Linked DNA regions of Danio rerio. The protein of the gene in region 1 interacts with the protein of each later gene in a pairwise test. Links are inferred from orthologs where the notes say so. Each region holds a gene or a part of one and is shown in the gene's direction. Other genes may lie near its edges.

What was found.
Region 2: the proteins of dzip1 (region 1) and ppp2r5a interact in binary tests that used the Homo sapiens proteins (3 or more experiments, as listed by UniProt). The link is inferred for Danio rerio from reciprocal best matches to the Homo sapiens genes DZIP1 and PPP2R5A.

The regions. Positions count from the first base shown.
Region 1 is NC_133181.1:8,204,036-8,207,859, forward strand, and holds part of dzip1 (cilium assembly protein DZIP1), read left to right. Parts: intron 1-569; coding exon 570-718; exon of another isoform or gene 719-821; intron 822-1,022; exon of another isoform or gene 1,023-1,395; intron 1,396-1,705; exon of another isoform or gene 1,706-3,140; coding exon 3,141-3,327; intron 3,328-3,689; coding exon 3,690-3,824. UniProt on the Homo sapiens protein: Molecular adapter that recruits protein complexes required for cilium assembly and function to the cilium basal body.
Region 2 is NC_133195.1:14,410,753-14,415,156, forward strand, and holds the start of ppp2r5a (serine/threonine-protein phosphatase 2A 56 kDa regulatory subunit alpha isoform), read left to right. Parts: upstream 1-1,501; 5' UTR 1,502-1,917; coding exon 1,918-2,074; intron 2,075-4,404. UniProt on the Homo sapiens protein: The B regulatory subunit might modulate substrate selectivity and catalytic activity, and might also direct the localization of the catalytic enzyme to a particular subcellular compartment.

The DNA.
Region 1 (3,824 bases):
TGATGTCCCAGGAGTGAGCCCTGAGCTCATAAGATCCTCGAGCCCGAGGCTCCCTCCTGTTGTAGGGCGAGAGGGGAGTTTGAGCTCAGGTAGATCTCGAAAACTCCCCTGCTGTAGTACACCTAATGAATTAAGCAGCTTATTTAATAATAATAATAAGAAGAAATGCTCCCCGAGCTCCAAATCAGCTTTTCTGGATGATTCATGAAGGATCATGTATCACTGGAATAAATAACTTTTTTTTTAAGTCACCAATCAAGAAAATTATTATTTTAAATTGTGATGCTTTCACATGTCTTTTCCTGTAGTTTTGATTTAAAAAAGTAACTTGATTGGAGATGCAAGCGTGCATATAATTAAAACTTTGTCACTTTGCAGCATTATAATGGCGGTTTTATAAAACAATTCCATTCAGTCCTCCATAATCGAGCTGTGTATTTTCTTCTGACTAAGAAGTTTTTTGGAACGTGATGCTGAATCTGCCACTGCAATTGGAGAATGACAAAAAATGTGCCATTTTGTATGTCGAACACAGACTACCATGATCATTCCTATCCTTTTTTTTTCAGATTCCTCAAGCATCTCTGAAAGTCCGACGGAAAACAGGTCTTGGCAGAAGGAGGTGCAAGAGCTGCTGAAGAATCCGGGTTTGAGGAGAGACATGCGTCTGGCAGCTCAGCACAACCTGGATGATAGACTGCAGAGCTTAGGCATCAAGGTTAGTGTTTACACCTTTTTAGGGGGTTTCTGACAACCTACTATTTAATGGCATCTTTTCTCAAATCTTGCAGCAGTAAATATGACATACAGGGTTCTTACGGGTGCTGGATATCCTTGAAAATGCTTGAATTTTAGATTTTGAAAGATGTCCTTAAAATTTTATTTGTAATTCTGCTGTCAAATTTTGTTCTTAAATAGATAATTAATAGTAACTAAATAGTATTTAAATAAAATAGTACTTTTTCTTTTACATAAAATGCTATCTGCCAGTTTTTTTTAATCAGTGGCCTTTGCTTAAACAGCGAGAAGACAGAATGCATGGAGAATACAACTCCATGAGTGAACAATGCATGAAATAAAATAAATATACATTTAAAATGAAATATGACACATTGAAGATGCTTGCAAATGATCAAATGACACATTTAAGATGTGAGCAAATCTAGTTCGTGCTAGTCTTATATAGTGTTATGGAAAATAATTAATTAGCAGTTGTTCAGCAAATTTCTATACAAGTAAATGAATGCTAATACAGGGCTCGAAATTGCGACCATTTTGGTCACATATGCGCCCGAAATTTTATTTATGCGACCTCAAAATATATTTGGGAGCACTTTTGCGAGTGCTTAAAATTGTTGTGTGCGATCAGTTTTTACTCCAAAATGTTCACCACATGCGCGGATTCGTGAGACATTTTACGCAGAATGCATCTCTAAGCTGTTTGTCTGCACCTGAAACGCGAAACGCAGCATTCAGGAATGGTTTACAACAGTTGTCATGTCAACTTGCTGCAGTAAACAAAGCCAAGTCCGAAATGCTTGCCCCGCCTACGCGCTCTTCTTATTGGCCCACCACTGCTCTAGCACTGAACGCGAATGATTGGTTAATATCAGCTGTCAATCACTCAGCGAGTGCCTTCTGGCTTGGGATGACAGAGAGAGCTACTACCGCGAAAAATTGTAAAGCGCTGAAGATGAGAATGAAGATAACACTGACAGATTTTGTTTTTGAAACCATGGCATCTGAAGTTATAAATAATGACACATCGTACTAGTGACCATGTGCTGAATGTTAATCTACCACCTACACTTTTCGAAAAGTGGATAAAAGACTTTCATTGGCTTCAAGTCTGTGGGATGGAATTTTCAGGTAACTGTTTGCCACATCTAGCACGCGAGCTTCTGTTTAATCCTTTATATAATTGCCAGATGCTGTCTGCCATGCAAGTGGCAGCTATATGTAAAATTTAACACAACGTACATCATCGCAAACGGGCTTACACTGAGTAAAGTAATATCTAACCCGGGCTCATTGTGGAAACGTAGCCCCGCAGACGTTTCTGCGGACCGCGAGATACGTCCCGGGAGGTACATATTCGAGCGTTTTTTGTTTTCGCCGAGCCGCGAGAGGCCGCTGTGCGCGCTTTTTCGCGTCTCGGGCGCCTCTCGGGAGCGCGCTCCGTTCGCGCCCGCGCTGTTCTCACGCGAAAAGCCGCCAGATCGGCCAACCCGGCCGCCCTCCTCTTCCTCCTCCTCCTCCTCCTTCACTAAACCCAAGCGACGGTTTTCAAAAGCTGTCCAGAAAAAAACAAAAACAAAAGCCCTCGTCTTCGATTTAGACCGCGTTTTCGGATCCCGCCACGTTCTCGCCCTTATTTTTCGGATTCTGTTTTTCATCTTACCTGATTTCTGTAACCGCTGTTCCCCAGACTCGATCCCGGTCGTCGTCCTTACGGCCGGCTCCTCCTCCTCAGGGGCCTCAGCTCCGCCGACGCAACGCTGTGAGCTAAGCGGACAAACTGGTTGCATCGGGAAAGCCCTCCACTCGGAGGTGAGCCGTCGGCCAGCAAGCGCGAAGAGGAGGAGAGGAGTGGCGCTACACCACCCCGCAGCGTTCGCTCGAAAAAAACTAAACGCAGCCGTACGTACCTCCAGCCACGTAAATCGCGGTCTCCAGAAACTTCCGCGGGGCTACGTTTCCAGAATGAGCTTGGGTTGGCAATATCGCTACTCATGAAGACCGGTATGGCTATTAGCATGATGTAACGTTATGCATAATGCATAATGCATAAGTTACGTTTTAAAAATCTATTTTCTTGTGATAACGGGATTTTGTTGAAACATATTTTCCTCACGCTTGCATATATATTTTTTTGCTTGTTAGTTTGATTAGTGTTGATTTCAAATCTTATAAATATGTTTGTAGTAACGGTGCTCAAAATTGTTGGGTGCGACTAAATTTTGCCTCATGCGCCTAAATTTTTAAAGTTCGGAGCACCTCTCCTACCAAGCAAAAAGGTTAATTTCGAGCCCTGTAATATAATGGTAGGGGAAACTCTGAAGGGGGTACATGACCAACCGAATGAACAAAAACATGATGTGAACAAAAAGAGTAACCTCAGTTTCTGTTGTGCTGTTCAGGGAGTCAGTGGTCTGTCTAAAAACCTCTATAAGAGCAGCATGACCCAGATTATCAGCGATCGGCGGAAAAAACTGGAGGAGGATCCTGTTTATCGAAGGGCACTGAAGGAGATCAGCCATAAACTGGAGCAGAGGGTGAAGGAGAGGAACACAGAGCAGCCTGTCAAACCCAAACTACATGAACAAGGTCAGGATCTTTGATTTCACACACAGTATCAAAGCTGAGATATTTTTATTTGGTTCTTCTTAACAGGTTTATCTGTTACTAAAACAAATAGAGTAAACATTGCATTTAATTTTCTCTCCACCTGTACAATGTAAAAACATATATTTAATGTACACAATAAGTACATTGTATTAATTAATTTCAGTGTAATTACATGTTAGTTAAGGACAATTAATATAAAGGAGGATATTATTGGCTGTTTTTTATGTGTTTTTTTTTTTTTTGGATGTACTTGATGTCAGTTTTTTGACGTTTTGACATTAAGGTGACTGCTGGGTTGCTTTTTATTTTTACAGTAAAGCTGATGTCTTGTTTTCTTACAGTGGTTCAGTCCAGACCCAGATCCAGCAGTTTTCCATCGACAGTAACTCGAGTGATGTCTGGCCCTGCTTCTAAACAGCAAAGAACCCCTCAGCCTGTCCCACGCAGCAGATCCAACGTCCCACACAAGACCTCCA
Region 2 (4,404 bases), on another chromosome or scaffold:
TCTTGTAACTGAGCTTCAAACCAAACCTAGAAAAGATTTGCAGATTCTGCCTGTATTTATGTATGTAATGTGTATTTTTTTATCTAGTTGTGCATTTATTTTTAAATGTGTAAAAATATTTTTCTAGAAAAGGGTCAAATGTATGATCATTTACAGTCATTTGACACCACAGTTGAATTCTAAAGTTTCTCTGATACCTTCATGTCTGTCAGACAGTTTGAAACACTTTGCTCCATTTAACATGCTTTTTAAACTATATTAAATTATATTTGGGTGTTATAATCAGTGTTATATCATACTTTATTTTTTATTCCAATTCTAATACTTATTTCCAAATGTGTAATGCCCTTTATTTGAGATTGTCCTTAAACGTGGGTCACATTTTCAGTTCTCTATTGATTGTAAAGCAGCACTTTACATAACTAATCCATTTCCAATTAGCCCACTGCTTTTTACGTATTGAATCTCTATAATGCAGTAGGGTTTTTTTTTTTTTTTGTAATGATTTAAATACCTTTTACATTATAGCACAGCCTTTTTTTCTTTTTGTAAGTTTGTGTGAATAGCTAGAATGTCACTTAACTAGAAAGATCTGCCTCAAAGTTTTCATCCTGCTTGTTATTTTGTTTTATTTTCACTATATCTTCAGCATGGTGGGTCAGATATGCTTTTTGCATACAGAAACTTAATTTTAGCTATAGAAATATGCCTTGTTCACCTAGACATGGCCTAGCAAACAATTTTAGATGTCTGTTAGGTATCAAAACGTTGAAGGATTGGCTAAAACAAGCCTAAACTTGGGCTGTCATTGAAAATCTAATAGATTAATCTAATATAATAGCCCAAAACTATAGTCGTCAAATAGACAGATTAGACTATGTGTGTATTAATTTCTGTTTATGTAATAACTAGTCTAGTTTTGGCATATTCTTAGACATCCATTAGATTTTCACTGACAGCCCAAATGTAGCCTTGTTTCAGCTAAGACCACTGTCTAGACGTATATTAGACATTTTTTATAAACAAAAAAGGAAGTTGTTTTAAACATTTTCTGTAAAAATGTGATCGTTTAAATTATTCTCATAAAAAAGTTACATTTATTTGCGTTCTAACTACGAATATTGATTATGCGTTTGTTTTATTTCTCAATTTGAGGATTGTCCCTTTCTCCTTTGACAAGGCTCCAAGTTCAACTAACTCTCACAGTGTTTCTCTTTAAAATGTTTAATTGTGGACGTTGTTTTTCCTGTATGTTTGTTTTATTTTATAATTTTATTTATTTATTTTATTATTTTTTTTTTTTTGAGTGGTTGAACGTTTGTTGAAGTTTTGTTGCATGTTTTCATGCGAGTTCAAGGATACAGTATCTTTTTATTTGTGTGTTTCCCTAAATACCATTAAAACAAGAATCTGATTGGTCAGTGGGCGGAGCTTGGTGTTTGTGCTGGCGCTCGTTGGACGAACATGCTGTCACTCAAACGCGCCACGGGGTTTTATTTTTAGACTCCATTGAGGCGCAACAGCAGCTGAATGAAGTTCAGCGGGTCTGAGGAATTTTACCCTCGGCGGATTCGCATTAAACTCTTTTCCTCATATGGAGTGTCTCCTTGGATAAACGCGACTGCATTTTTGTACTCGACATTGTTATATGGTTTTGTAAACATTTAAGCATGATAAAAGCACGTCAGTAACTAACGTCTACGTTTATACGTCATCTTAGGGTACCTGTGGATCATCATGCAGCCTCCGCGAGTGGGCTGACAGTGTCACATTAGATGGGGTCTCGTGAGTTTAATGCATAGCACAGTCAATGGGATGTCTGCACTCAAGTCTAGAGAACATTTAGGGCACACTCGTTCACTGTAGGCGCAGCTTTTTTTTTTTTTTTTTTTTTTTTTTGCTAGATCTGCTCTGGAAATGTCGGCGATTTCTGCGTCGGAGAAAGTGGACGGGTTCACGCGGAAGTCTGTGAGGAAGGCGCAAAGGCAGAGGGTATGCCAGGGCTCGTCTCAATTTGCGGTCAACAGCAGCAGGCCTGCGGCTCCAGAGATCTCGGCGCTCCCGCAGCTCAAAGGTAAGAGGATAAAGCTCTGCAAATATACACTCGCGGGCTGCGTCTTAAACACTGGGCAGCTGTCTAAAATATAAAGGAGCTCCTATAAAGGAAGTTCCCTTCATAAAAATGTGCTGTCGTTTATAGGAAGCACTAGTGTTTTTGAACCACACTATAGTAAAGTTTATTCGGGATGTTTACTGCAGGTATATATTATAGTGTTTATCTATAGCAAACTGATATACTAATAAATAATGTGGTATACTGGTGTATTGTAGTATGATATAATGTTACTATATTTGTAGAAGGTTTGTACAGTAACAATTTGTTTGTTAATGTTACTGTATTGCTGTTTCAATAGAAACTTTAGAATTACCACAACACAGTAATTCAAGTACAACTATACTATATAAAAGCCACCATATTTTCCAGAAATTACTTTAGTTAGTTTTTTTTTTTATGTTGAAAGTAATCAATCTTGGCATTACAGGTAGCTTGAGTTACATAATCAAGTAACCAAGGTTTGCGTTACTTATTACCAAAATAAGCAACGGTGAACTAAAATATGACTTTTTTTTTTCCTTCAATTTTATACGGTTCCTTTTACATCATTGATGTTGTAATGCAATTAAAATATAATCTGTTAAAAAGACTTAAGCGTTCATTTAGTTATCTAAATGAACTTAGTTCATATTTCAAAGACAAAAAAAAAAATAATTTGATGCAGTGCTTTTTCTATATTCTTAGACCTGCTTTATAGCGTATAGCATTTAGGCAGTGAAGATCCTTGATTTTTAAAGAAAACAGTTCTTATAAATGCACAGATTTTGTATCTGTTCACCGGAAGCACTTGACCCTGGTTACTGCAAAATTAAAAGGCCATCCGAATACTTCTGCAAATATATCCTATTTGAAAAAAAAAAAAATGGTGAGCAAGTGTAGAATACAAATGTATGCATTGAGCACAAATATATTCATACTGTAATTATACCTTAATTGGGTTGGTACACCCCCCTCCCCCAAAAAGTCTGTTATTACCCCTACTTCGTTCCAATCTCGTAAAGGGGTGTTCCACTATGATATAGTGATTGGAATTTCAGATCATTTTATTGACTCGGATCTTTGAGTCTCGTTCGTCGAGATGAACAAAACTTTTATCGAGTCATTTCGTTTATTTGGTTCAATTTTCCAAAAGAATTGCTTCCAAACACATCTACAACTAGCCCAAAAGGTTGATTACACAACAAATAAGTCATAAATAGAATACTATAAGAAGGAGAAAATAATAATTCAATGTTTACACGCTCTTTTGTCTATGAAGGTATTGTGGTCTCTTTGCTTAGCTCACCTCTTCATGCCTTCAAATGTCAGTGGTTCGTTCACGTTACACTGACAGTCACATATAATCTTAATTAAAGTACACAATCTGAGCCAATAGGAGCCATGATAATTAGTTCACCTTTTCGAGTCTTCGAGTCTTTCATTCATCATGTGACAGAATGACTCAAACCCAAGAACTTGATAGGTGACCGGATCAATTATTTTTCCGGCTCTAAACGCATATGATTGGCCTGTGAGGAAAGAATGACTCAAACCCGAAAGAGGACTCGATAGATGAATGGATCTATTCTTTTACCGACTCTAAACGCATATGATTGGCCTGTGGGGAACGGATGACTCAAACCCGATAGACGACTTGAGAGATGAACGGATCAATTCTTTTTCTGTCTCTAAACGCATATGATTGGCTTCTCCCTTTCCGCGATGAACGACTCAAAAGATACCACCTGCACAAATGTATGCACGCGCGAATGAATAAATCACTCCCTGAGAGGGCTTGTAGTTCAGAAGTCATATTAAAGATTCGTTCAAAATGAACGAATTGTTCAAGAACGACCCATCACTACTATGATATCATATTTTAAACACTTAAAGGGTGACGAAACACCAAAACACATTTTTTAAAATGTTGACACTTGACAGTCGTATATGTGTCCCACACTGCTAAAAACACTATTAGGACACATATATCTCACTAAAAAGTAAAAATTAGTTGTTTTTGCGTTATTTTGAGCAAATTCGTACTTCCGGTTTAAAACTAATTTTTGAAGCTGCATCACGGCCATGAGATCTTAGCGTGTATTCCAGCTTGCAGACGGGACGTCTGTACCTCAGCGTCCCGTATTATGTTTCTGAGTGTGTTGCATTCATTCATGAGTAAGGCTTGGTTCAAACCAATCAGAGCGCTCATTATGTATGTTGCTGCATGCAACTTCATTAATATGCATGCTAGCTTTTTTAGACTGTACCTGAAACAGTGTTCAGACGGCAGAGAGACAACACACGTTGTG